Linked DNA regions of Coturnix japonica. The protein of the gene in region 7 purifies or fractionates together with the protein of the main gene of each other region. This does not show direct contact. Links are inferred from orthologs where the notes say so. Each region holds a gene or a part of one and is shown on either strand. Other genes may lie near its edges.

The links.
Region 1: the proteins of MED4 (region 7) and GIT1 purify together in Homo sapiens (affinity purification with mass spectrometry; 3 studies listed by BioGRID and IntAct, with this or other methods). This does not show direct contact. The link is inferred for Coturnix japonica from reciprocal best matches to the Homo sapiens genes MED4 and GIT1.
Region 2: the proteins of MED4 (region 7) and ARHGEF7 purify together in Homo sapiens (affinity purification with mass spectrometry; 3 studies listed by BioGRID and IntAct, with this or other methods). This does not show direct contact. The link is inferred for Coturnix japonica from reciprocal best matches to the Homo sapiens genes MED4 and ARHGEF7.
Region 3: the proteins of MED4 (region 7) and SNAP29 purify together in Homo sapiens (affinity purification with mass spectrometry; 3 studies listed by BioGRID and IntAct, with this or other methods). This does not show direct contact. The link is inferred for Coturnix japonica from reciprocal best matches to the Homo sapiens genes MED4 and SNAP29.
Region 4: the proteins of MED4 (region 7) and IFT20 purify together in Homo sapiens (affinity purification with mass spectrometry; 3 studies listed by BioGRID and IntAct, with this or other methods). This does not show direct contact. The link is inferred for Coturnix japonica from reciprocal best matches to the Homo sapiens genes MED4 and IFT20.
Region 5: the proteins of MED4 (region 7) and POLR2B purify together in Homo sapiens (affinity purification with mass spectrometry; 3 studies listed by BioGRID and IntAct, with this or other methods). This does not show direct contact. The link is inferred for Coturnix japonica from reciprocal best matches to the Homo sapiens genes MED4 and POLR2B.
Region 6: the proteins of MED4 (region 7) and MED12L purify together in Homo sapiens (affinity purification with mass spectrometry; 3 studies listed by BioGRID and IntAct, with this or other methods). This does not show direct contact. The link is inferred for Coturnix japonica from reciprocal best matches to the Homo sapiens genes MED4 and MED12L.

What each region holds. Positions count from the first base shown.
Region 1 is NC_029534.1:4,837,788-4,840,742, forward strand, and holds the end of GIT1 (ARF GTPase-activating protein GIT1), read right to left. Parts: coding exon 2,869-2,955; intron 2,781-2,868; coding exon 2,553-2,780; intron 2,429-2,552; coding exon 2,375-2,428; intron 2,133-2,374; coding exon 2,046-2,132; intron 1,945-2,045; coding exon 1,871-1,944; intron 1,806-1,870; coding exon 1,623-1,805; intron 1,550-1,622; coding exon 1,486-1,549; intron 1,415-1,485; coding exon 1,202-1,414; 3' UTR 843-1,201; downstream 1-842. UniProt on the Homo sapiens protein: GTPase-activating protein for ADP ribosylation factor family members, including ARF1.
Region 2 is NC_029516.1:125,506,762-125,511,231, reverse strand, and holds the start of ARHGEF7 (rho guanine nucleotide exchange factor 7), read right to left. Parts: upstream 2,908-4,470; 5' UTR 2,740-2,907; coding exon 2,575-2,739; intron 1-2,574. UniProt on the Homo sapiens protein: Acts as a RAC1 guanine nucleotide exchange factor (GEF) and can induce membrane ruffling. Functions in cell migration, attachment and cell spreading. Promotes targeting of RAC1 to focal adhesions. May function as a positive regulator of apoptosis.
Region 3 is NC_029530.1:57,827-62,185, forward strand, and holds the start of SNAP29 (synaptosomal-associated protein 29), read right to left. Parts: upstream 3,132-4,359; 5' UTR 2,979-3,131; coding exon 2,778-2,978; intron 1,480-2,777; coding exon 1,283-1,479; intron 280-1,282; coding exon 194-279; intron 1-193. UniProt on the Homo sapiens protein: SNAREs, soluble N-ethylmaleimide-sensitive factor-attachment protein receptors, are essential proteins for fusion of cellular membranes.
Region 4 is NC_029534.1:8,043,155-8,047,190, forward strand, and holds IFT20 (intraflagellar transport protein 20 homolog), read right to left. Parts: upstream 2,311-4,036; 5' UTR 2,280-2,310; coding exon 2,153-2,279; intron 2,071-2,152; coding exon 1,985-2,070; intron 1,488-1,984; coding exon 1,384-1,487; intron 1,048-1,383; coding exon 966-1,047; coding exon of another isoform or gene 956-965; 3' UTR 601-955; downstream 1-600. UniProt on the Homo sapiens protein: Part of intraflagellar transport (IFT) particles involved in ciliary process assembly. May play a role in the trafficking of ciliary membrane proteins from the Golgi complex to the cilium.
Region 5 is NC_029519.1:43,876,838-43,881,510, forward strand, and holds the start of POLR2B (DNA-directed RNA polymerase II subunit RPB2), read right to left. Parts: upstream 2,868-4,673; coding exon 2,849-2,867; intron 2,744-2,848; coding exon 2,671-2,743; intron 1,500-2,670; coding exon 1,349-1,499; intron 1-1,348. Other genes in the region: NOA1 (nitric oxide-associated protein 1), read left to right, coding at 2,866-3,994, 4,388-4,552. UniProt on the Homo sapiens protein: Catalytic core component of RNA polymerase II (Pol II), a DNA-dependent RNA polymerase which synthesizes mRNA precursors and many functional non-coding RNAs using the four ribonucleoside triphosphates as substrates.
Region 6 is NC_029524.1:20,889,667-20,893,552, reverse strand, and holds part of MED12L (mediator of RNA polymerase II transcription subunit 12-like protein), read left to right. Parts: intron 1-173; coding exon 174-309; intron 310-776; coding exon 777-938; intron 939-2,229; coding exon 2,230-2,592; intron 2,593-3,256; coding exon 3,257-3,413; intron 3,414-3,886. UniProt on the Homo sapiens protein: May be a component of the Mediator complex, a coactivator involved in the regulated transcription of nearly all RNA polymerase II-dependent genes.
Region 7 is NC_029516.1:150,964,801-150,967,595, reverse strand, and holds the end of MED4 (mediator of RNA polymerase II transcription subunit 4), read left to right. Parts: intron 1-1,325; coding exon 1,326-1,498; 3' UTR 1,499-1,543; exon of another isoform or gene 1,544-1,676; 3' UTR 1,677-2,057; downstream 2,058-2,795. UniProt on the Homo sapiens protein: Component of the Mediator complex, a coactivator involved in the regulated transcription of nearly all RNA polymerase II-dependent genes.

The DNA.
Region 1 (2,955 bases), on a different chromosome or scaffold from region 7:
GGGAACCCAACTCCTGCCTGCTTCCATGGCTGGGAGCACCAGCTGCTATGAGTGAACCTACAGGTGTGCGTTTTCCTTCTCATAGGAAATGCCACGAGCGCGATCTGGTAAGGCTCAATGTACAGTATATTGTCAGTATTCTGGTATTCTTCTGGTTCAGCATACATTATAGCTCATATATAACCTGTATTAATTGTATAGATTGTGCATTTAAAGCTGTTACCAAGTTGTCAGAAAATAAGAGAAAAAGGAAAAAAAAAATAATAATAATAAAAATGGAAAAAAAAAAATAAAATAAGGTCATATGTAATATTTTGTTTGTAAGTATCCTTTGTATCATAGCAAAGGAAATGTTAAAAAGAAAAAAAATCAACTGTAATAAAGTAATTTTAGTACACGGAGTGTCGGCCTGTGTCCATGGAGGGGGGTGGGGGGGACACATCACTGTGGCAGCAGGTTACAATGGGGATTGGGAAATGGGGGCAGGATGGAGGTGCTCCATCCCTGTTATACCCGCCCTCTGAAGCCCCCGCCCCACATTACAGAAGGCGCTGCAGGGTGCCGGGGGGGGGCTGCAATGCTATAGAGGGGGGAGCGTGGGGTGATGTTTCCTAATGGAGGCCACAGCCCAGCAGGGATTGCAGCAGGCCCAGCCCCCAGCTTGACATTCATTAAGCAGCACGTTCTGCTGCTCTCAGCACAGCCAGCCGTCCCCACGCTGTGCTCCAAGTGCAGCGCAGCCCCTTGTGCCCTGAGCCTTCCTCTGCCCCATCACCATCCTCCCCCAGGCTGCCACAGCCAGCAGGTCCGGGCCGAGGGGACACGATGGGATGGAGCCGGGCGCCGTGCAACGCTCACATCTTTATTGATACAAATGTACAAGGACACATCTTACAGGAGGGAGCGCGGCGCGGGGCAGGACGCCCAGGAGGGGAGAAAAGGGGGGGAAGGCCTCCAGGCATCCCCTGTCCAGTGTAATGCTGCGGGCGGCCCTGGGGGAGCGCGGCCGCGGGGAGGGGGGAAGGAGAACGTGGCCACCCCATTTGGCTGGCACACGTTGTGTACTGGGTAAGGTAGGAGCAGGCTTGGGCTGCTGCTGTACAAGGCAGCTCCCCAGGGCCGAGCACCAGCTCTGCTGCCACAGCCACCGCGCTCAGCCCAAACCAGAGGGAGGACACGCAGAGCAGAGCCCGTGTTGGACTCACTGCTTCTTCTCGCGGGTGGTGATGGTGACCAGCTGCTTGGCCGCCTTGGCGATGTCGTATGCGCACTGGATGACCTGCTGTGTCAGCAGCTGATAGTCCACGGCTGCGCCCGGCTCCGGCGGCACGGTTTTGCGGCACTCGCTCTGCAGCCGGTACGCGCTGGCGTTCAGCAGCCGCAGGGAGCTCCGCACCGTCTCCAGCGCCGGTTTCTGCACGGGGAAAGCGTTAGGACATGGATATAGGGCAATGGGAGCCCGGCGGGGCCACCCCCAACCCCTACCTTGGGGAAGAGCGATGCCATCTCCGTCACCGCTGAGTGGATCTTCTCCGAGCACGGCACGAAGCTGCAGGCACACAGAGGGCTGAGCGATGTGGGGCACAGCATCACCCGGCCCCACGCTCACACCGCAGCCCTACCTGTCGTGCTTGGACTCCTGCGCAGCCCTCAGCAGCTCCTGGATGTTCTTGGTGACCTGCTCGGTTTTCAGGATCACGTCCTCCGTGCTGGGCAGCCCAGGGTCCAGCTCCCCGTCCAGCGGGTCCAGCTCATGTGGGAAGTCCTCGTCCTTGCTCAGCTCCACGAAGCGCTTCCCCTCCACACTGTGGGGACACAGGGGTCAATGCCAGCTCCGTGTCCCCCAGCGGCCCCCATCCCCATCACTCACCCCAGCAGGATCTCGCCCGTCTGTGTGTTATCATAGTCGCTGTCGGTGCCGCTGCCGTGCCGGTCCAGTTTGCTCTGTAGGGCAGAGCCACAGTGTTATGCCCTGCCCGGCCCCATATCCATACAGGAATAAGGTTCCCCTACCCCACTCTGACCCCACCCCCCCGGTACATCACCATGTGCCGGGCACCATCGGGTGGGCAGGAGAGCAGCGGGGAGGACGGGGGAAAGGGCATGGAGGAGACCGACGGACCTTTCCGCATCTGGAAGGGGAAGAGAGGGGGGAAAAAGGGGCTGAGTGGGGGGGGCACAGAGACGAGCCCGGTGACGTGCAGGGGAGGACGAGCACAGGGGACACCACCACCCTGCATGCAGGGAAGTCCCGCGGCTGCCGGCCCCACTGTGGGTTCCCCGGCGCTGCAGGGGTGGGGGACGTCCCAGGAGCTCGGGAGGCCGACAGCCCCCCCGTGCCATGCAGGAGCCGCCCCCGCTGCGGCCCCCTTACCCGGTACACGCTGGCCGGGATGTGCATGGAGTACAGAGCTTCGTCCTCCACCTCCTGCGACACACGGAAGAGTAAAGCCCCGCCACCCCCAGCTTGTCATCACTGCAGCTACCCCGAGACCCCTCCCCACAATAACCCATCCCAACGCAGCCCACCCCAAAGCCCACCCCGTACTCACGCCGCCTCCAAAGGGCTGCAGCCGAGTCACCAGCTCCTCCACCGGCTGCCCAAAGGGTTTCAGCACCGAGCCCGGCTCGTACATGGAGAAGGCCTGGCGGTCACGGCGGTGCAGGGGGGCCGTGCCGGGGGGGTGCCCGTGTTCGGGGCGCTCGCTGGGGGCTGGGCTGGGGTGTGGGGGCACCGCCTGCTGCCGGATCTGTGTGTTCTCTGATTGCAGCTTGTGGATCTGCAGCGGGGCAGGGAGCAGTAAGTGGGGGGGGATGGAATGGGGAGAAAGGGAAAATGGGGAGCCTGGAGGGGGGTCCGGGACACACCTCGCGCTGCAGCCGGCGCAGCTCATCGCTCAGGCTGTTGTTCACCTTCATCAGCTGCTGCACTTTGGCCTCAGAAGCAGCCAGGGC
Region 2 (4,470 bases), about 25 Mb from region 7:
AACTACAAGATCCTTGAGGTCCCTTCCAACCCGGGTCATTCTGTGATTCTGTGATCTACAGACTGGTGCAATGTAATGCACGGCTGAGTTTTAAGGAGTTGAGGGTTTGGGCAGGGGGAGGTGGCAGTCTTTGCTTTTGCCCTGTTATAGAATCACAGAATTACAGGGGTTGGAAGGGACCTCCAGAGATCAAGTCCAACCCCCCAGTTACAGTTCCCTACCATTTATTCTAGTTGTATACCAGTGTATGTTTATTCCCAGTTTTGAAAGGTCAGTTCAGCAATAAAGTACTGACGTTCAGGTTAATTTCAAGAGATTTGGTGTATCTTCTCGGCTACTGCTGAACTACTGACCATTACTGCTTAAAACTGACCATTCTATGATGATTCTATGACATCTTCTGAAACTTTCTAGAATACTTAAAAATGCTAATCCTGATCTTGTGCATGTCGTATATGAAAATGGATGGATGCATAGGAAATTGAAGAAGGAAAGCAAATACAAAATTACTCATGAGGATTCAGGAGCACCTACTGGCATCATCAGCACTGCATTACTCTACTGTATGTGCATAGTTAAATAAACAACTCTAAAACAAGTATCCTTAGCTCTGCTCACCTTGATAGCGGACCAGAGTCAACAGGAAAAGCTGAACACAGTTGCAGACACTTCTAAATTCATTGTTGGTTGCAGGCAACTGCTCTGCCTTCTGCCCCTTTCCCATGTTACAAAACTGTTCACCAGGACCATTGCTCTGCACAATCCTGCCTGATTTTACCTCCTCGTGGCCACTCTTCAGAAGCAAGAGATGCAATGCATAGTAATGCTGCCTTCCAACTCGCTCTCATTCACAGCTCCTGGAATCGGATGAATTGAATACCTGTCTGCTGCTCAAGACAGGCAACTGTTCTGTAAACAAATGGAGCCAGTGCTTCCTGACAAGGAGTTACCCAGCACAAATACAGCACACGAACACAGTGTAATCTACAAGGAAGGACACCGACCAGCCCAGAGTTGGACTGGGACACAAGTCTGTGAGACTTTCAAAGGCACCTTTGGGCTAGAAAGCACAATGAGAAAGGCCAAGAACTACATATAGGTCTGCTCACAAAACAAAGAAATCAGTAAATACACAGAGCTCTAGCAGAGGGCTGGACACAGGCTGGCTGGGGTAGGTGGCAGGCTGAAAGACCTTCTCCCCTCTGCCAGCCATCCCAGCCCATCACCACCCTCTGCACAACCCTGCACTATTTGGCTTATCCCTGTATGGCAGATTGGATAAAAGCACCCCACTGTCAGCTCCCGAGGGAAGCTGTGCTCCTGCACAGCCTCCCCTTAGGTTTGGGATTGGGAAGGGACCCTAGTATCACAAGCATTGCCTCCTTTGACACAATAACAAGAGCACGCCTCTCCTTCCCATCAAAGCCACTCCTAGCTGCACCGTACACAGAAGCACGTGAAGTTGGGAAACGCTTTCCTGCTACTTATTTCCATCACTCATCTCTATTTCAGTGCGCCTGCAGCAGAACCTGTTCCCTACTCCATCTCAGGACCCCATCATCCTCCCAGGCTTGCCAGAAGTGCATGGACAGCCCTGCGTTGCTGTAATGCTCAGCACCCAGCTCCATGGGGCTCTGGAGACCAGAGGTTGGGAGGCACAGCAAGACAGGCTGGGAAACCACCACGGCTGTCATGCAGATGGAAGGATGCACCAACAAACTATTCCTGAGGAGGGTCTGCGCCCCACTGTGTGACTGGTGCCAAGGAATGGACACGCATTATTTCCAGCTGCATCTCACACATAGAATAACAGAACCACAGGGGTCAGGAGGGACCTCTGAAGATCATCAAGTCCAACCCCTGCTAAAGCAGGTTCCCTAGGGGAGGTCACACAGGACATTCAGGTGGGTTCTGAGTCATTCAAGAGAAGGAGACTCCACACTCTCTCTGTGCAGCCTGCTCCAGGCCATGGCTGTCCCAGCCAGCTGTCCCCGTTGTTACTCAATACTCCTGTGTCATTTCCATAACACCTGTGAGCTCCGGGGTCATTTCCACATCCCCCATTTGCTTGCAGTCCATGAGGACAGCACCAAGTCACCAAACAGAGCAGGGTGGACAACAGCACAAAGCGGTGACAGCCACAACCTGTGGGGAACTAAGGACCCTGCTCCAAACCCAGCACCCTACAGAGCTCAAAGGTTTCCAACTCTGAGGCTCAAGAAAGACACACACACGGCAGGTGACCACAGCCACCTGCCAGGTGACCTTCAACAGTCACCAGCAAGATGGGGAAAGTTGGTTCCATGAGGTGTGCCGGCACACGGAGGCCCCCAGAAAGCCAAAATAAAGCAAGCAAGCAGGACAACAGCCCGCATTACAAGGAAATTCAATTGAACGTTAGGGGCGGACGCGGGGCTCAGGGAGCGCTTTTTGTTCCCTCCCGCCGCTTCCATCCTCCTCGGGAGGAACTCGGCACCGAATCTCCGGGGTCCCCAAGGCGGAGGCCGCCGCCGCCGTGCCCCCCGCGCCATGCCGCCGCCCCCGGCCTGACAAAGCCCGCTGCCCCCGACTCACTTTCTCGATGGATCCCGGCAGCAGGCGCTCGAGCAGGCGGCACAGCACCACGCCGTCCTTCAGGGAGGACTGCAGGAAGCCCTCGGGGTCGGCGATGCTCTTCTTGGGCGACTCCAGCACGCCCAGGGCGATCAGCCACGTAACGGTCTGCTCGGCCGAAGTCATGGCCGCGCGGAGCTGGGTTGGAGGGGAGGGGGGTGAGGGGGGGGCGGCTTTATGGGATCGCTGTCTCCCCTCCCCGGGCGGGGGTTTCAGGCCGAGGCCCCCGCCTCCCCCATGTGAATGCGGATGACGACGCCCCGCCACACACACACACACTCACACATATACACACACACACACACACACACATGCAGCCGCAGAGCCGCCTCCTCCCCGCCCCGTGACGGCACGGGGCTTGCGCGCCCGCGGAGCCCCCCCCCCTCCCGCACCCGCGGAGCCGGACCGGGCGGTGGCTGCCCCCCGGCGGCACGAGCGACGCGGAGGTTCCGCGGGTGCGGAGCGCTGGGGGAGCCGCCCGGCTCCGCAGGCTGCGTGCGGCGGGGCCTGTGCTGCACGGGGACAGCGGGATGAGGCGGGAGGGTGATCGGGATCGATGCGTTGGTGTGAGCGCGGTGAGGCGCTGGAACGGGTTGCCCACAGAGGATGTGTGCGCCCCATCTCCGGAGGGATCCAAGGCCAGGTTGGATGGGGCTCTTAGGGCTGTTACTGCCTCGTCTGTCAGCCTCTCGAGCAGTGAGGAGGCACTCCAGATAGATGCACATTTCTGCCTTTGCCAAACCAGGGCTGGGATTTCAGTGGAGAGGAGACTGGTTGAACATTGGTCTGACCAGAAACCAGAGCTCCCATGCAGCAGGTAACTCTCACAGGAGGTTTGCCCTATGGAAGTTTACATCCTCCTGAGAAAACGTCTCATCCCCACAAAGCAATACTTCACATCAAACACACAGATTGTGGAATCGGAGGATGGCTCAGGTTGGAAGAGTCCTTAAATATCACTTCATTCCAAGCTGATTCATTCCAAGCCCTGTGCTCAGCTGCCCAGGGTTCCATCCAACCTGGCTTTGAGCCCCTCCAGGGAAGGGGCACCACAGCTTACAGCCAGCCAGCCAGAGATACTCGGGGGATAGCGGGTGCTCTCCTCCTAAGCACTCAAACCTTCTCCAGCTACAATAGAATCATAGAAGTTGGAAAAGACCACGAGTCCAACCTCAACCCACCCCCACCCCCTGGTGCCCACTGACTATGTCCCTCAGTGCCACACTACCTCACGGCAGGTGCTGTTAGAACCGTGCCAAAGCAGAAATGCTGTCACTGGGTCAGATCACTGTTGAAAGTTCTGTTAATGTCTTCTTCATTTTGTAGGGCAATGAAGGCAACTCACAGTGTTATATCCTTGCAGCATTTGTCACTTTTACCCCGGCTGTGTTCTTTGGATGGAAGTGCCCTCAGAGAGCTCTGGCAGGTCTGCCACAGCCCCAAGTGTAGCCCTGCTTCTGTACTCCTGAGACCATCGGTGCAACAGCTGCACCAGCTTTGTCTTCTAAGTGCAGCTTGGGTTAATGGCATTGATCCGTTGCGTTCTTTATTCTCCCAGAAACCAATAATGAGCATTCTGCTTGAGGCGGAGATGAATATAGAAGCACAGTCCTCGCCTGGTCTACATCACGTGTGACAGATGAAGGGTAGAGCTGGGGAAGGAAGAATGGAAAAGGACAACAGTCACATGGGGCTCCCTCTGCAGAAAGAAATCTATTTTGATTGGCGTTTTGGAAGTGTTTTATTCACACTTAATGAAGACCAGGAAAGAAATGAAGAATGAGAACAGGATGGCTAGGAATCAACGCGGCTACAAATGATCGAAGAGGTCCTGAGTTCCAATTAAACACGATTCAA
Region 3 (4,359 bases), on a different chromosome or scaffold from region 7:
AACGTTACGTGAAACATAATGGATATTGATGTTATCAGAAAGCATTTCTTAGAGAATTACAAATTGGGAATGCTAGGAGGATACCAGTCTCCAGAAGTTAGGCAGCAACACAAGTCAGCAGTTGATCCTACTTTCACCACTGAGCAAGTTCCCTCCACTTTGACGACAGGCATTTAGTATAAAATAAACAAACCTGAATTATCTAGGCGCCTTAAATTTGGATGACTTTCCTGGTATTTTGAGTCTTGTTCTTTGCTAGACATCATTGCTTCTTTTAATCTGGTAATAGAAAGAATAAAGCATTCTTACAGATCAAAGGTTTCATTCTAAATCAGTTAAAAAGCAACAGACATTAAAATTATCCAACAAAAGAGAACTTCCTAGACATGATCCAACATGTCCCTTTACAAATAATTATTATCACATCTTCAGTGAAAGCAGAATCAGTTGCTCTAGTGCTGAAAATAGCGTAAGCTTTGATATCAAGAACAAAACCACATCTGCAGTCTTGAAGGCAACCTATTCCTTTCCTCTAATTGAAAATAAAAAAGGGAAGCAGGAAAATCAATCCATGCAGCACTACCATGTTTTACATAAATTTCTCAGCTGAAGACACAGATGTACTATAAGACATAGTAATTCATTTCTTTTTATAACTTTTAATAAATAAAGTTGAAAAAGATGCATAGTATTTAAGAAGAAGCATGCCAACGCTGCAAAATCATGATTTCCTACTACAATTGAATAAAGCATGATGATCCAGGGGACTCTAAAAAATAACTTGTGAATAAATTCATAAAAATCTTAAGTTATTGTTACCGTTAGAAATATAAGATTTTTTTTTTTTTCAGAGTTAAAGCAAAAAGGGAACCAGACACCATCTCAGGAGTTTACAGATTCAATACATTATTTGTTAATTCTGATTTTTCTGGTGACAGTTCAGAGATGTTATGGGGGAAGAAAAAAAAAAAGCAAATGGTCTAACTGAGGAGCTCAGGAGAAAAACACATGAATGAAACTAGTGATGCTGTGAGGAAACAGAAGAAACTCTCTTTCTTAAAATCAGATAATTGGAGAGGGATCAAAGAGCACATTGTAGACAGCCAAGACCCTAGTAACAGAATGAGGAGTATATGACAGCACTGCGTCCCACTTCAAGGCTTACTCTAGAAGAACTGCTCTAGATCCAGATTCTCTCAGAAGATTTCTGATGACAGGTAATTCCCCTGCTTGAACCCAAGAAAACAGCATCATGCCCTGATAAAATTTTCATTTTACTTACCTACTGTTGCCATAATATTCAGGCATCCCATTCTGTTCTGGTTTGTTCTCAGGTGGCTTGGCTTTAAAGTAGTTAACCAGGCCTCCAAAAACACTCTTAATGCTATTTATGTGCCTTTGACTAGTCTTCAGGTCCTGGTCCATTTTATCAACCATTAGTTCTGTACGCTTCAGTGCCTCTCCTTGACGTACGAGCTCCTAATGGATATTGACAGATAAAATGAAGCTAGTAAAGCCAAGGTAAGCTGAAACATCAAGCATTTCAATAAACGTGCTTTAAAAAAAAAAAAAAAAAAAAAGCCTCTATGAACTATGCAGGCTACTCCTAAAGTCATGCAGCCTTTTCACTCACTCCTGTTGTTCTGGGGCATTTCAGTGAAAAGCTGGCAGTAAGGTACAGCATTGGCCAGCTACAAAATTTTTGCACAACCAGTTTCTCGGTATGTACTACAAAAGGGATTCAGGCACTTCCCATGCTGGCCTTCTGTCAGTTTGTATTGCTTCTTGATGGAACAAATATTGCACCTAACGGACAATGTAGTGAAAATGCAAAGGTTTACAACAGGGAAATAAAAACTACGTCTAGTTCTGAAACTGGAAATTAACAAGGGATGCTATTTTCATATTGCTAGGTTGTTCCAGATGATTTATAAACAGACTAGTTAAAGAAAGTAAATAGAGCTAGAATTTTTTTCTTCCTGCAGGATTAGTTTTAAGGTAATGCTAACGGTGCAGAAGTTATAAATCCTGGTATGCACAGCTGTGTTATTTTGTATTTCAGTGGTATTACGCCAAACCAATCCAAAGATTCATTCTGACAGAAGACGTGCCCTCAGCTAATGCCAATGCAAAACCAAGGACTTGCGTTTATCTACAGAACTCCAGAATTACCATTAACATTAAGCTAAGGCCCAATTCTTGGTCCCTCATTTCAGCCATTTGTAGCTCGCTAAGCTGCCCCCAGCACTGCTCCTGGAGCCACCCCGGCAGTCACGGTGCAGCACTCAGGCAAATTCCCAATTACCGGATGACATCACAGCAAGGCCCTCGTTAGCGATGTCTGAGTATAGACTGCACTCCAAAACAAGCACGTGAGAATTAAGGAAATGATTAACAGAGGTGGAACCAAGAGCGTAATCGACAACAAAGCACGCAGACTTCTTATTTCATCAGAGAGCTGCTGAAAACTAAGTATATATGCACTGTTAATAAAACCCAGTAAGAAACTGACACGGCTGAGTTCTGCTCTCAGTGTAAGAGGAATCTAACTGGGATTTCACGCTTTAAAAACCAGCCTTCACCAGCAGCAAACCGTGACACGGAGGGGCGTGCTGCCTCTGAGACGCCGATCGCCGAGAAGCAACGACAGCGCCCAGAGGACGGGAAAACATCAGCACCAAAACCCACAACGGCGCGGGGCGGCGGGAGGGAACAGCCCGGGCCGGGAACAGGGGCGGCCCCGCCGCCGGGTCGGTGCCGCAGGGGCCCAGACTCACCTCGGAGGTGGCCACGCCGATGCGCTCGGACTCGTAGAGCAGCGAGAGGGAGCGCGCGGTGCTGTCGGCGGTGGCGGCCGTGCGGCGCAGCACCTCCTGCTGCAGGGAGCGCTGCCGCTCCGCGCCGCGCACCTCTCCGCCGCCCCGCGTCTCCTCTTCGTCCTCATCGAAGGGGTTGTAGCTCCTCGACGCGACCGACATGGCGAACCCCCACACCCCGCTCACGGAGCCTTCGCTCTTCCGCCCGCACGCACTGGGCGGCACTACCGCTTCCCCGGGGCGGGCCGAGCGCTCCGCTCAGCGAGGGCGGTTCTGCGGCGGACGGGCAGGGCGGGGAGCTCCGGGCAGGGCGCCGCCATCTTCTCGGCGCGATTGGCGATCCACAATGTCGCGAGACGGGCGCTCTCGCGAGAGGTCTCCAGCCGCTCCTTGACGTCTCTCACGCAATGGCGGCCGCGACGGTTGCGGCGGCGGCAGCGGCGGCAGCTACGGCAGCAGCGGCAGCCGCCGCGACCGCCGCCGCGACCACCGGCGGCACCACTGGCGGCGCCGCAGCTCCTTCGGCGGGCACGGGCCGAGGGAGCGGCGTGGGAACCGCGCGGGGCTTCTACTTCAATACGGTGCTGTCGCTGGCGCGGTCGCTGGCAGTGCAGAGTCCGGCGCCGCTGGAGAAGGTGGGGGGGTGTGACTCGCGGGGGCTGTCGCGCGGGTGGGAGCTGGGCGCGAATGAGACGCGGGTGCGGTGAGGGAGAGCGCCCGGCTGTGCCCGTGTGAGCGCCGCGCAGTGCGTGGCTCTGCGGGATGAGCGCTGGCCGTGGGCGGCCGGGCGCTCTCGTGGGCCTGCGGCGAAAGGGCTGCGCGCTGACGAAACCCGGGCTGGGGCTCGTGGGGCGTAATTGGTCTTGGCCTTGTGGGAGCTGGTCGCGAGTGCAGCATTTGGTGAAGTCAGAGTGATGTTATTTGCTGAGATAGACATCTGCCGAATGTCGAACTCAGCAGGAGGGTCTCAGTCTAGGGAGGCGTTCTGCTGTGATCTCTGCTCCGCTTGGAGCTGTGGCCGTGAGGAGACGGCATCACAGCTTGGTGCCTGCGCGCAGGGTGGCACAGCTCTGTACCAACAACTGCTGTACGTGGCTGTTCTCACCCAGGTGCTACAGGGCTTTTATTTAGTTTTTCTGAAGTCCTGTTGTTGGTCATACACCTAGCTGCAAATCATAAAATCATAGAATCATTATAGTTGGAAAAGACCTCTGAAACAGTCTAGTCCAACTGTCAGCCCAGCCCCGCCATGCCCGCTGAGCTGTGCCCCTCTGTGCCACATCGCCCCAGGGAGGTGATTGAGTCACCGTCCCTGGATGTGTTTAAGAGCCTGTTAGGGTGCGATGCTCAGATATACAATTTAGCAGAGGGTTGTTGGAGGTAGGGTGCTATGGTTAGGCTGCGGTTGGACTTGGTGATCTTTGAGGCCTTTTCCAACCTGAGTTATTCTATGATACTATTATCTCCACATTTTTAAATATCCCCAGGGACAATGGTTCCACCACCTCCCTGAGCACTGTTTCTTCATATCCTGCTGTTTGCT
Region 4 (4,036 bases), on a different chromosome or scaffold from region 7:
TGAAGACTTGTGTGAAATTCTGGGCCACTGAGCAGTGAAGACTTGTGTAAAATTCTAGCAGGCTTCTTCAGTCACTGCTTTATTATTTCAGGACGTTACTGGTGTGTAACTTAAACCTCCCACAAGCTTTGAAAAGGGCAGCGTTTTCTTATGTGGTTGCCTAAAGACAGGTGTAAAATGCATCTATTGCTGTTTGAACAAGAGCCTTGATTTTAGGTCACAGACATTCAGTTTTTAAATGCCATGCTCATATCTATGGTCTGTATGCGTTCCTGGTGCCACTACACGCTGAGGGTTGTTTGTCTCATCAGTCTGAAGTCCTACGGTTAAATTGCAGTATTCCACTGCAATGTTACTTCAAACACAGTTTAATCTTAATTCTCTGTTCCTCTTTGTGTGCAACTGCCCCGTTCTGTTAATCACCAATTTTTCTGACCAGTTTAGGAATTCCCAGGCAGGAGTTACCAACCACTGCTTCTCTCTTTTGCACGTTATGCTGCTAGGAGTGTTAAAATGGCTATATGAGGGAAGTCCTTCATGATGACGATCCAGGGAGTCACAAACTTACGAGCTCCCCAGTAACAAAGCAGAAGAAGCTAATTCTGGTATGTCCAAGTAGGTGACAAACAAAAGTTTATTGCCTGATTTCATTGAAAGAGCTGTACATTTCAAAAAGGGAGAGAGACATTAACAGAGGAACAGCAGTATTAATTCAACTACAGATTGAATCTGAACTACTGACTGTATAAAACCTTTATAAAAATCAAAGGACAGAACAGTCTTACAGCTGTTAGAAAGCCCTCCTTATTGCCACTTGTAGTGTAACTCACACTGCATTAAAAAACACTTTTATTTGCACAAACCATCCTTATTTATTTGCACACAGTGAAAAATTGCATATTTCTGAAATAGTCAAAGAGTCTGGAATGCTCGTGTTTCCAAGCTGGTCTTTATCTTAAAGTCTTCTATTTCTGAAAAATAAATTGGTCAATGAATTCATTCTGATCCGCTTCAATTTTACACAGACTCTCATATTCTATTCGATATCTGAAAGACAAAGAAAATAGGTTACCAGCTGATATTTTAGTGCAGTGCTCACCAGTCTGAGAGCGAAGCTCAGGGCTTCGTGTGTGTCCTTTTTAAGGCAACAGTCACATGAATTAGACTTGACAGTTCTAAAAAGCCTTTAGAAGTCACCTGCCTGCCACTCTTACTGTTTTATTAATTTCCACAGTTGTATGATCTCACATCACCTCTATCCGGATAGCCACAAAGCCATTAGAAATGATCCTTCTCAGTACGTGGCTGTTTCTCTCACATCTACACAGCTTTCTTTCCCAACTATTACGTCCATGCCCCAAAAACACTTAATAGGAAGCTCACCTTTCCAGCTGCATCTTTTTCTCAGCTATTAAAGCCCGCAGCTGCTGTTCCTGTGCTTCCCTTTGCTTTGCTATAGACTTCAGCAGATTCCGTGCACCGATGGCCTGTCAAAACAGACGTTTGTGATGGATCTGTACAAGGAGTTTTAACCCCTTTCACTACCAGCAGGTCGCGATGAAAGTCTTTCAGCCGTGCTAAGAGCAAAGGGGGCATCGTCCTGCTGGATGGGCTGTGGAGCAAACACAGTCCCTGTAGGGGCTGGGCGGGTTGAGGCATCTGAGGCTTCCTTCCAACCTGGGATATTCCTAACAGTGTGAAATAAACTGACCCCCTGGTGGCTGCTACCAACAGGAGGCTCAGGAGTTTCTCCCACAGAACAAACAAGGGAAAAGTAATCACAGCTGTGCTGAAAATTCATCTCCAACCCCATAATAAAGTGAGAAGATAAAGAGCGCTTGGTGACGTGTATTAGTGCACGTTTCTGAGGTAGTTACAGAGGTTTTTACTGCGTGAATCGTTGGACAGCCCTGTCCTCAGAGCCCACCATGAGCTGCGTCCTGCCAGGAGGTGTGACTACAAGGACAGCCCCAACGGACCGTACCTTCATCTTCTCGCTCTCGACAGCTCTGGCCAACTGGTCCATGAGCTCGATCAGGCCGCCCACCGTGCTCTGGAATTGCGCTATTTCTGAAAGAAAAACGGTCCCGCGTTCGTGGCTGTCAGCGCTGCGCGGAGTGAAGCGGCGCCCCCCGCCCCGCCCCGCACTCACTGTCCACGAAGGCCTTGCACTCCTCGCGGAGCTGCGCCGTTTGCTGCGCCACGTCGGGGTCGAGGACGCGCAGCTTGTTGAGCTCGTCGAAGTGCAGCCCCGCCGCGCCCAGCGCCTCCTGCGCCATCCCGGCACCGCTCGGATACACGGAGCCACAGGAAGCGCTGCAGGGTGCGGCGCAGCGCGCAGGAAGTGACGGGCTGCAGCGGGGGGGACGGCGGCCACGGGCGGTGAGCGGACTGTAGGGCCGGGCGGTGAGCGGACTGTAGGGCCGGGCGGTTCGGTGACGTGGGGCCGCGCGGGCGGGGCTGCGGACGCGGAACTTCGGTGTGGCCGCCGCGTTCGGGCCGGGGACGTTGCGGAGGCCACGGACGCGCCGCCCGACGGCCCCGCGACACCCGGTCGGCGCTGCCCGGACAGGCCGGAGCGGCCCGCGCAGCCGGTACGGGGCAGGGGAAGAGCGGGGCGGGGCGGAGCGCGTGTCCGGGCCCCGCCGGTTCAGCTCGGGGCGCAGTTGTCGCTTTGTCCTGTTGCTTTCTCTGCTTTGTGCGTCTTTTTTCCTTTGTCTCTTCTCGTTTTCTCCCCTCGCGCCGTTAGTCCCGCTCCTTTTCGTGGCCGTGCTGAACAGGGGCCGCTTCCTGACGGCGGTGCCGTTGTTGTGCTGCGCTCCGGCCGGAAGGGAAACGGGGCAACATTTATGCGTGTGTTAATGTGGGTAATTAAAGGTTCAGTCTGTGTTTATCGCAGGAGCCTCCTACGTGATCGATGATCAGGGACCTCAGTGACGTTTTGTCTCCCCGGACACGCTGTGCAGCGGGTTCTCATTTTGCTTTTTGGTTGTTTTTTTGCTTCGTCCTTCTTGGTCAGAAACGTAGCGACGTGCCGGAGGTGCGGCAACTACAGAAACCTTCACTAGTGCACGTGTTCAGAGATGCCGCTGCTGAGACTGGAAAGCTTCGTGCACACCCAGAGCTCGTTACGGACTCTGGCTGTCCTTAAAAACACGCTTTTATTTTGGAGGAAGGGCTCCTGTGGTCTGAAGCAGGATGGGACACCGAGGGCAAACCTGCAGCCCTGAGCCATGGTGCTGTTTTCTCTGGAGGTTGTAGGTGTAGGACAGTGCGCTGCTGCTGCTGCTTCTGGTTTACTTCGGTGTATGACAATATAACCTAGAGTTGACAAAAAGTAACTTTGTTGCTGGCAACATGGATTTCTCTGGAGCTGCTTTATTTGTGCAATTAACTTCTTACAGAACACAACTGTAATAAGCAGCTGCTAGTTGCTGTTGCTGGGTTACTGGTGGGGAATTGCTCCTCTGAGCAATATTGTGCTGGCTTTTAACTGAGACAAATACTCCAAAGACCAGACATTTTTTAGGCGTACCCATCCTGAAACAATAATAATAGAAACTACATGACATCGACTGTTGGTTTTTCTAGGAGTGAAGGGGGGAAAAGAAGTAGAATAAAAGGAGTTTCGAGGAAATAGAATGTAATGTTCCAGCACTGCAGTATCAAGTCGTTTGAAGAAGTTGGAGCTGCTATAAGAATATCACGTTAAAATATTTTTTATGTAATCGCCAGATGAAAGAATTGGACAAAGCTCTTCCATTTGTTTCCCTCCTGCAGGCAGAAAAGTTATTTCGGGAAGTTGAACGGGATCTGAATCCCATCTAGCACTTAACCTTGGGCTGCAGTGTTGTGTGTTGATTGTAATGCTGGCTGAAGACTGAATAACAGGAAGCCCAGAGGAGTTCAGCTTGCCTCACTAACAGTAATGAAGTCGTAATATGACTGTGATGTTAAACAGCTTCTGTATTGCTGTGTAAGTTGTTTGAAAATACACCTGCATTTTGTTTTGTCAGCACATTTGTAGGTGTGTCCT
Region 5 (4,673 bases), on a different chromosome or scaffold from region 7:
TAACTAAAGCAAAACTTGAGCTCCATGCAGTTATCTAACTGTATCCGAGCCATTAGGACTACTGTAGTACAACACCAAAGCTCTAGCACAGCTAGCTCTCAATTCTCACCCAAAGAAACACCTTTCTCCTTCATTTGCAGCAGTAGCTGCGTGAAATAACTTTCACAGGTTCTCATGTAAGCACGTAGAACACACATTTACTGTAATTCCCATCTCTCAGCACGGCTGTAAAAACACTTTAGTGTGCTATAAAACATACTGTCCTAGCTGCCCTCAAAATGCAAAGCTGAACATGGAAGGAGGGAGAAACAAGTCACCTCGGATTAGTCCAATCATACTCAGCCTCCTTAATTAAATCCTGCATTCTCCCATTAGACAAGAGATTGCCAACAAGTAAAACTGAAGGAAAAACCAAGTTTTCTTTTTCTCATATCTAGGCCATACTCTTAAAACTTCAATTGGATAAATAAGAGCAAGAAACCTACCCTCAAGTCAAATACTATGTCTTGGGCAAAGTTAAACACATATATGCTGGAGATCCACACTTAACTGCATACAGCTCATACAGCATCTGCAGAACTGCACAGCTAGGGAATATAGATATAATATACACAGAGCAACAGAGGAAATATTAAGAGGAATTACAAACATTTATGAGTGTTCATCTACCCAAGAATGAGCCCTATGACAAACTCAGGAACTAAAAGAAATCTGTTACTCTCTCTAAACAATGCATGCACGCACAAAAAATGGAAAGGAACAGTCAAAACATAACAGATTTGACTCTCAGAATTCCTAAAGTTCCCTTAAAGCTCAAAAGGGAAGCAGAAACTTGAGTAACTGGATCATCGCTGTTGACATACACAGGACCGCACCATATGGGAGACACCACAGTGAACAGCAGAAGCACCACAACCAATGCAGAACATGTACTGTACCCTCACACACTTCATAAGTCCTCACAAAGACCTTAGATAATGTGGAACATGGTACCAATGGAAGATGATAAGTAAGGGCACTACTAGAAAACCCAGACCTAACAAAAGCCTTTTTAGTCTTAAGCCTTTTCTGCCATAGTAAAGCTACCAAGAACCAAAAATCCCAGCAAAGCACGGTTTTATTATGGCTAGCTTGCTTGCTCCACTAAATCCCTGTCGATGAGGCCTGCTCCCATCCTCAGCAGTTGCACAGTTGCCTTATAGAATCCAAGCAGTTTACACTTCCATCCTCCCGGCTGTGTCCCAACTCAGATGTACTTCAGTCTCTCCAGACACAGACCGAATGAAACCCACCTACTCAAGGTACCACCTACTCATTTTGCTTATGAAACCCCTTTGCCTCCACTTACCGGTTCTTCCACTTCTCCTGTGGCATGCTGGGCTTCTGCCTGTAAATCAATCGGTGGAGCATCTTCAACAATTCTCTGCACAGACATCTGAATAAACTCATCAAAAGAATCCAGCTGTTGCCTGACTAAACCTTTTTCATCAAAATAGGAGCTAAAGGAAAAACAAAACAAAACACATTAACAAGATAACTTAATTTAAGTGATGTATTTTGTCAGCAAGCTTAAGGTAAATTCATTACAAAATCTTGAAAAGCTCTGAAATACAGTAGAAAATACTTTTTGCCTGAGACACGGGTTGTGTACACAGATGCTCAGAAATGTTAAACTCAACTCTCATCGGTGTTTGAAGGCAGACTGCAAAGTGACAGACCTGCTGCCACCTCCTGGCTGAGCCGTGTACGCACTCTATCTTAAATTCCTCTAGCTTTTGTGTGGCCCAGACATAACCCAACACCACAACCCAGTCATGAAACCAAAGCCAACATTCCAAGCCCTGCACTCTCATTGTTAACAGGATGACCTGAAGACATGGGCTGTGTGCCACACAGCCCTGAAGGCACCTGGAGATCTCACGCTACCTTGGCTTTGCTGTTCTCTATCCCCACTGCACATAGGGAAAGGCTCCTGTTCAAAAGAAAAACACTTTTTGCTTACAATGTGCGCTTCTTAACAGCATGAGGAGCCACAGGGCCTGGCTGTTGGTGTTCTGCTGGGAAAACTAGTCCAACCTCCTACCCATCCCCACCAATCGTGTCCCTCAGCACCACATCTCCAGTGACTGACTACACCACCTCCCTGAGCAGCCTGTGCCAGTGCAGTAGAAACACATAAACGTTTGAGTTGGAAGGGACCCTTAAAGGTCAGACAGTCCAACTCTCCTAAAAGAAACAAGGACACCTATGGTGCTCAGAGCCCCTTGAATGACTTCAGGGACAGGACTTCCACCACTTCCCTAGGCAACTTGTTTTGGTGCCTCATCGCTCTTACTGTAATAGTACTTATGTACAGCTGGCTTTCTCGGCTGCCAAGGCACACTGCTGTCTCAAGTCCATCTTGCCATCCACCTGCTCCCAGCTGGTACTGGTAGCGGGTGTTGCCACAACCCAGGTGCAAGACCTTGTACCTTGTTTTTGCTGGACCTCACGAGGTTCATCAACCAGCTGCCCTATGTCTGTAAGCCCTGCCAAACCAAACAAGGGCCCCACAGCCCAGCTGAGCGCAGCTCCGCTCCCTAAAAGCCGAACCACGCGGCCCGGCCTAGTCGCAAAGCCCGAGGCCTCCGTGCACCCGTCCCACCAGCAGCAGCACAACGAGAGCATCACCTGATGACGATCCAGCACGCCTCCTGCCACAGGTCGGGGGTGATCTCGTCGTCGTCCTCATCATATTGCATATCTACAGGGGAAGAGGGAGCGGGTCAGGCCAAGGCCGCCACTACGGGGCCGCCCATAGAAGCGGGGGAGCGGCCCGGCGGGAGGCGGCCGGCGCGGCCTCACTCACCTTCATCCGCGTCGTACATGGCGGCAGCGAGGAGGGAGCCGCGACCGGCCGGGACGGGAGAGAAAGAAGCCGAGAATCCGGCACCGAGCGCCCGCCGAGCGGCGGCCACAGGAAGGAGGGCGGCGGGAACGGGGAGCAGCGCACATGCGCGGGGTGAGCCTCGCCCTGCCCCTTCCTGCGGGCTGCTCACGCTGCCCGTCATGCTGCAGCTGGGCCGGGCGCTGCTGGGCCGGCTGCGGCCAGCACGGCCATGGGCGGCGAGGCGATGGAAGGCGTTGGGCGGCGAGGAGGAGCGCTTCGTATTCCTCGAGTATGAGCCGGAGCCAGAGCCACCATCACCACCAACACCACTGCCACCACCACCGGCACCACCCGCCGCTTCGCCGACGGGCAGAGCTGCCGCGCGGAGGCGGGCGGGCAGGGAGCGGCTGCTGGGGGAGGCCGACCCGTCCGTGCCGCCGAGCGGAGTGGGCTGCTCGGGCTGCGGGGCCGAGCTGCAGTGCCGCGATACCGCGGCGCCGGGCTTCGTGCCGGCCGACAAGTACCGCAGCCTGTGCTCGGGGCCGGGCGGAGCGGCCGGGCTGCGCGATGCCGTGTGCCAGCGGTGCTGGGTGATGGCGCACGGCGGCCGCTTAGTGCGGCTGGAGCTGCCGGCCGAGCAGCACCGCGCCGTGCTGAGCGACGCGCTCCGCAGCCCGCCGCGGCACGGCAGGGGCCCGCTGCTGCTCTACACGCTGGATGTGTTGGAGCTGCCCGACCCCGTGTTACCGCAGCTGCCCGCGCTGCTCAGCCCCGACGTGCCCGCAGCGGGGCTGCTGGTGGTGGGCAACAAGGTGGATCTGCTGCCGGCCGACTCCCCCGGGCACCTGGGGCGGCTGCGGCAGAGAGTGACGGCCGCCTGTCTGCAGGCCGGCATCGCCCGGGAGCAATTAGTGGATGTACGGCTGGTGAGTGCCAAAACGGGCTTCGGGATGGAGGGGCTGGTCAGCCGGCTGCAGCGCTCCTGGAAGTGCGCCGGTGATGTCTACCTGCTGGGGGCCACCAACTCGGGCAAGTCGACGCTCTTCAATGCCCTGCTGCAATCCGACTACTGCAAGTCACGAGCTCCCGACGTGGTTAGTAGGGCCACCGTCTCATCCTGGCCAGGTGAGGGGCACTACCAGCATCCCCATATCGCACTCGGGTGCTAAGGTCACAAGGCTTTGCTGCTAAAGTGTCTGATCGACCTCCCTAAAATCAGCTCAGATGACCCACGACTGTACCAGCATCAGCATGATTTTAATTAGTGAGAGTGTCTGAGAAGCCTTTCAACAAGAGAGCAGGTACCAAGTGGATGGTAACACACTCCAGCCACTCTGCCTAGGAGGGAGACTTAAGCAGAGCAGGTGTTGATGCTTAGTTCCACCTCCAGCTTTGTTAGATGGCTCCAAGTACTTTTTTATTCATGTACCTCAGAGCTTAAGTATGAGTCTGGATATCCAGGTATCCCAGAGGTCTGGATGTGTCACCCTTTTTGCTTTCTCCTCCTTCTTCTTCCAGGAACAACACTGAACTTGTTGAAATTTCCAATTATCAACCCTACGTGCGACAGGATATTCAGGAGGCAGGAGAGGCTGAAAGAAGAGGCACAAAAAACAGAAGATCAGCTAAGCGATGAGGAAAAAAAGCACCTGAATCGCCTTAAAAAGCAAGGTTACTTAGTGGGTGAGTATTGTCTGTGTAAAACGTGATGGAACGTCCCAATGGAAATGCTGCATTACACAAAGGATTGTTAACCTCTTAATTTTCTGATGAATACATCTGGTTTTGGCAGGCAATTTCTACC
Region 6 (3,886 bases), on a different chromosome or scaffold from region 7:
CCTGAGGGCTTTCCCATAGCAGAGCTGTGGTTCCTGGTGGCCATCTAACAGCAGCTCTGTGCTGTGGTGCACAGTAGGATTTATGTGTACACTGGGACAGTCCACCAGCACGTACACATGGGGCTACGTGTGCATGCTGTTCTTCAAAGTGACGTTTGTCATTTCACTCTCAGCGAATTGTTCACAACTGTGCTGGACATGCTGGGCGTCCTCATCAATGGGACGCTCGCCTCCGACTTGTCCAATGCTTCCCAAGGAGGACCTGAGGAAAACAAAAGGGCTTACATGAATTTAGTGAAGAAGTTAAAAGTAAGTGTTGTTTCTCATCATTTGCAGCATTTCTTTTGATTCTTGTCATTTCTGGTGCCTTGGAAAGAGAAAAGGGAATAAAGTGGCATTAATAGTAAGAAAGAAAAGGAGGAAATAAAAAATTAGGAATGTGAAGGCAGGGAGACAAACTACTAAGATATTTCTTATAGTTAACTTTACATTCAGAACCCTGGAAGAGACTTAATTGCTTCTATTTGTTCATGCTTGAGACACTGCCTTTGCATTTACTTTGTGTTATGTATGTTGTATGACCTACTCCAACAAGGTAACTTGATTTCTTAGAACCAAGCTAAACAGGGCTGCAAAAACACTTGTTTAAATTTAGTAAAAGCACAGGGAAATGATTCATCCCCAAACTGGGCATTTTCTAATAGTGAGAGTAGGGCAATGTTTCTCTTCCTTATTTCCACCTTGCTGTTTGACTGAGCACTTTGTTTATCCCTTAGAAGGAGCTGGGAGACAAGCGGTCAGACAGCATTGACAAGGTTCGCCAGCTGCTCCCTTTGCCAAAGCAGACCTGTGATATTATCACCTGTGAGCCAATGGGATCCTTGATCGACACCAAGGGCAACAAAATTGCAGGGTTTGACTCCATTGATAAAAAACAGGCAAGAGTAAATGTTTACCTTCGTCTCTGTTTTTTCGTGATGTTTTGATGCAAGGGAAATTCAAGCAAACATGTACAGCCTGTATAATACACACACTTAAATCCAGTATGTGCAGAGTATTGTACTTCTGCTGTAATACAGCTTGCTGATGCATTTGGTCATTACTAAAGCTTCAGCCTCAGCAGCACAGTCTGTGTTAACCAAGCAGTGGTGCAGAAGTGTGCAGTGCTGGGCCTGCAGGACACCGCTGTTCAGATCAGTTGCAAATGACTGACTGGGTTTTGGTAGCAAATGTAATTCTGTTTCCAATACATGTGCAGGGTGTTTGTTGGCATGATCCATATGAAGGTTCTTGGGCAGTGTGTGAAGCCAGGAGCGTGTTTGGAGAGGGGCTTTCAGATTCCAGCATCGTGGTGTGCTGTGGCAGTACCACCTTCCTGCGTCAGCGCTGACGGTGCTGCTGTCCTCTCCTGACAACTTGCCCCAGCTGGCAGATGGGTCAGAGCTCTTCCTCTGGGTGCCTTTGGGATGGATGCAGCTCTATGCCACCTATACAAGCTCAGGACTTTCTGAGACAGAAATCACATTCTGATTTGTCTACAATCCTGTCACCAGAGTCTGTACAAACAAGAACTGAATGATGTGCAGAGCACACGGTTGATTTGTGACTCATGAAATGAGTGCTGACAGAAGCTTGCTTGATTTTGCAATCCAGCATCTTGAGTGACCAAAAAGGAATATGATGTTTTCTTGGAGCCGAAGAGCAGAAGCTCTCACAACAGTATTTGCTTTTTCAGCAGAATCCTGCATGTGAGAGCTTGATTGACCTGGAAACCTTTTGTCCTGTCACATGCTGGGAGGACAATGCAGGGGGTGCTCCTGCTTACGAAACATGGAGGAAAGAGAAGGAAGATACAAACTGTGCTGATAGGGATTTTTTGCCAGCATTGGTTTTTGTTGTTGTTGTTGTTGTTTTTTAAATTGTTTATTTATGTAAGGAAGAAAGCTAAAATCTGTAATTCTGCAGTACCTCTTTTCCTCCTAAGATAGGTGGAACTTGAGGTTTTTAGCATGGCTGCAAGCAAATGTTATTATAAAAATCTAACAGCTTTTATCCAGTGGCAGCTTTAGGTGGAGGATGAAGTTCCATCTGTGTGCACTTGGTACATTCTGGGGGGTGTAAAGGACCCTCACTGGATTTTGTGACTCAAATCATGATGTACAAAAGCAAGTAGTTCGCTGTGCTGTTCAGCTTCTCTAAAGTGCTGACTTCACTTTTATTTTGATACAGGGTCTTCAGGTTTCAACAAAACAGAAGGTGTCCCCTTGGGACTTATTTGAAGGTCACAAAAATCCTGCTCCTCTCTCCTGGGCATGGTTTGGTACAGTTCGTGTTGACAGGAAGGTGATCAAATATGAAGAGCAGCAGCATCTGCTCCTGTATCACGCACACCCCAAACCCAAGCCACGGAGCTACTACCTCGAGCCCTTGCCTCTGCCTCCAGAGGAGGAGGAGGAAGAGCCCACCACCCCTGTCTCTCAGGAACCAGAAAGGAAGCCGGGGGAGCTCTCCGATCAGGGAAAACACACCACAGATGATGAGAAGAAGACAAAGGGCAGGAAGAGGAAGTCAAAGTCAAGCTCTAAGGCTGATGTAAGTAGCTGGTGCCTCCGTGCAGAGCTGGGAACATCCTGTCACCATGCTGTCTCTGCTGCATTCATAGGTTGTACCCTACCTGGAGGGGTTCCATTAGAGGTAGTGAATGGAAATGGTCTGCAGGAGGGTGGATTCCTATCAAGTACAATCAATGTAGAGGAGCGTAGCACACATAGGACCTTCTGTGCTATGTACAAGGTGCTAGGCTGGATCTTAGCTCACTGAATGTTGCTCAGGTTCTATGTATGCTTTCTCGTTTGGTGTAAAATTACAGCAATTATGTTCTTTTTCACCTTCTGAAATTCCTCTGTAACTTGGACATTGTTTTCTGGCCTTTTTGATGTTTCAGTTAAGTTCCTCCCATTATTTCCTTTCAGATACAGTACAATACAGTGCAGTACAGATACGCCGTGCTTGTGCTGTGCCTTATGGTAGCCTGCTGAAGGTGCTTGCTAATAAGATAGAAATGGATGGTGTCTCTGTGAAGTTGTTAGTGTTAATTACCTGTGGGCAGCCTGAGACTTAATCTGTTTTTTACATCATTGCAAACGACAATGGGAACTGTCTCTATCCTTTAATAATTTAGTAGGAAAACTGGCATTATTTATGAGTTAGTAAGGTATGAATGTCAGTAACATTCGCTTTTACTGTATATTTTAAGGAATATCCACAGAACAACTTATACAGAGTGCCTCCCAATTACTCGCCCATTCCTTCACAAATGATGCAGCATCCTCAGTCTGCCTTGTGGGGCTACACCATCATGGGGCATCCGCAGCAGCCTGGCTTCTTCATGCAGAACCAGCCCCTCCCTCCAGGTATGTCTGAGCTTTGAGTTCATCTCTGTGTTTTTATTGCTGGGTGGTAGAATTGGACTTAGTGCAGCCGGGTTTTGTTCCAGACTCTGAGGCAGGCTGTGATACCAACGTTTTATTCCTGCAGTTAGCCGCTGTTCAGAACAGCTCTCCATTAGCAGTCGTAGGTCGTCCATGCTAAGCTATTGAACTCTTTTGGTAGAGAAGCAACAATGACCTGCTGATGGTTTGTAATGCTGATGGATTTTTCTTCTAAGAAAGCTGTAGAAGTTCAGTGAGGAGTTAAATAAGGGAGAGACAATTAGAAGGAACAAATGACCTTGGGGCTATTTCATTTCTAATTTGACCCAGACCAAGAACCGTGGTGGCTCATTTAACATCTACTAGATGGAATAAATAATCAGCGGGCTGACTTTCTTTTTCAGCATTTGTGATGAGCTGAACTTTTGTACATTTGTTTTGTTTCTTCCAGGCAG
Region 7 (2,795 bases):
CTAGGAAGGGGGCATCCACAGCCTCTGTGGGCAGCTGTTCCAGTGTCTCACCACTCTCACAGTAAAGAATGTATCCATAATATCTAGTCTCAGTCTACCCTCTTCCAGTTTAAAGCAATTTCCCTTCATCTTATCACTCCATGCCCTTATAAGAAGTCCCTTCCCAGCTTTCTTTTAGTCCCCCCTCAGGTACTGGAAGGTCGCTATAAGGTCCCCCCAGAGCCTTCTCTTCTCTAGGCTGGATGGCCCCAGCTCTCTCAGTGTGTCCTTGTAGGGGAGGTGCTCCAGCCCTCTGATCATCTTTATGTTGCTCCTCTGGATCTGCTCCAACAGCTCCATGTCCTTGTGTTTGGGGCTCCAGAATGGACACAGCACTCCAGGTGGGGTATGAGAGCAGAGTAAGGGGGAGTCTGCTGGTCATGCTTCTCTTGGTGCAACTGAGGACACTGTTGGTCTTCTGGGCTGCAAGTGCACATTGCCAGCTCACGTTGAATCTTTCATCAATCAACACCCCCAAATCCTTTTCCCCAGGGTTGCTCTCAAGCCATCCTCCGCCCAACCTGTATCTGTAGGAGTAGAGATTAGAAAGAAAGGAGCAGAAATGACATACAGATGCACGCTGCAGCTTTGAAGTGGGAGGCAAAGAGGAGAGAGACTAAGAAGTGTCGTGGAGGGAGTTCCCTTGTAGGTTCGTGAGAAATACATGTTTGGAGAGCTTTGGAATAGATGAGGAGAAATAAATCTGAGAGACGTTGGAGGACGCTGGGGTTGGGCTGCTGGGGCACTGTGAGGCATTCCCACCTCCCAGATACATCTGTTTATGGCACTTGTTTTGTAGTAGGACTGTCTTCTCCCTTGCATTTGCTGCATTGTATTTGCTCTTTGAAAAAGGATAACCGAGGTGTTTCTACCTTGTTCAGACTGAACTTAAATCTGAATTCCTGTGCCTACCTTATTCTTTCTTGCTGTAATATTTTCATGTCTTTTTGCATAGTGTCTGAGAGTGACCGTTTTCATAACCGCTGGTGGTTTTGACTGTTAAGTCAGTTCATGTAGAGCTTTTCACCTTCAAAACACAGTTTGAATCTATACTGTTCTGAATTTACTTTTTCCTTTGATGAGAGATTAAGCCACCTACATAAATAAGCCTGTGGCAGAATAGGCTCTTACAGTGATAGAATGACTCCATCACAAGGTGTTTTTCAGCTGTCCAAAAGCCAGTCATGTTTTTAAGATTTGCTTGAATTTTACACTGTTGTTTGAGCTCCCTTGTTTAGATGGTGGACACACACAACTGATGGCTTGATTATGCTCCTTGTTTCCAGATGTGCTCGCTCCTCAGTATCCTTGGCAGTCAAGTGATATGTCAATGAACATGCTACCTCCTAATCATAGTAATGACTTCATGTTGGAGCCTCCGGGACACAACAAAGAGAATGAAGATGATGTAGAAGTGATGTCAACAGACTCCTCAAGCAGCAGCAGCGACTCAGACTAGGTACAGGAGGGACAGTATCCCTAGTAGACCTTTCCTGTGGTGAAGGTAGGTTGGATGCTGTTATTCAAAGTCCCTTTTATTTATGCTGGCAGCCCCATGCAGGGAGAAGATACAGCAAGCTCAAAGAGTGGCTAATTTCAAACCATGAACTTAAAATTTATATATCTTTTCCCATTAGATGTTCAACTAAAATGACTGGGAGCTTTCTGCTGGATGAGGGATGTCAGATTTCCAGTGCTGATGTAAATGTGTATGTTTGCAAGAGATGCGTGCGTTTGTATATATATTTACTATACATATTAGAGGACAACGTTCCTGGGACAAAAGGTGTAAGGGGAATCCCCTCCTATGTTTGCTAGTAACTTGACTCTTTTGAAGATGGCCTTTTCTATGGCACAGAAACAAGGCATAACATTTGTAATTTTAATACCTTTTTTGTTACTGCTGAAATGCACGTTGTTAATCACATAGTGTGTTCTGAGAACAAAACCATGGCAATAAGGTGTTTAAAAAATGTTTGTAATTACTGTAATATACAATAAACTCACCTTTGATGTAACTTTGCTGCGCTTTGCAAACATAAATCTTTAGGTTTATTGCGTGAATTCATTAGTCAGCACATTTCATCTCAGTGTGCGTTTGATTTCGGATTAAGTTTTAGAAGCTCGTGGTCCTTTTTTCCCTTTGCAAAGTGCAATGTTGTTATTAGAAGCAGCTGAGCAGTCAGCACCTGCAGGTCTGTTCTTTTCAGCTGAGCCTATTGGGTACATACAGCTGCAGAGCCTGAAGCAATGATGTACAGTGCCCAGTCACCAGACCCCACAGATATTTTGGTCAGGTATCCCAAGGTTGTGGATGCTTTGGAACATACTGCAGATTCAGCTCTTTTCAGTTCAGAAGGAGCTCACTTATTCTTTAGTCTCCGTCACCTATATTTTTTTTCAGTTCTTTGAACCTGTTTATTTGTTTGCTTCAGCAATTGCATTTTTACCTTCTTTCATCTTTCCAAAGTCATTTCCATTGGCTTTCTTTGTTCTCTTTTGCTTAGTGACTCATATGATGACAGCTACTTTTATTTTTCCAATTTGATCAGGTTACTGATGCAAACTGTTACTTATGTCAATTACAGGTTTCTGCCCTGCCTTACTGTTAAAGCTACCTGAACCACAGATCAAAGTTCTCTCAGCTTTTGCATATTCTGTACAGAAAATGGCTGTTAAATCAAGAATCCTTCCTCATTTGTTCAGGCAGGTCTTCAGCAGTGACAGTAATACTACCATATGACCAATATATACAT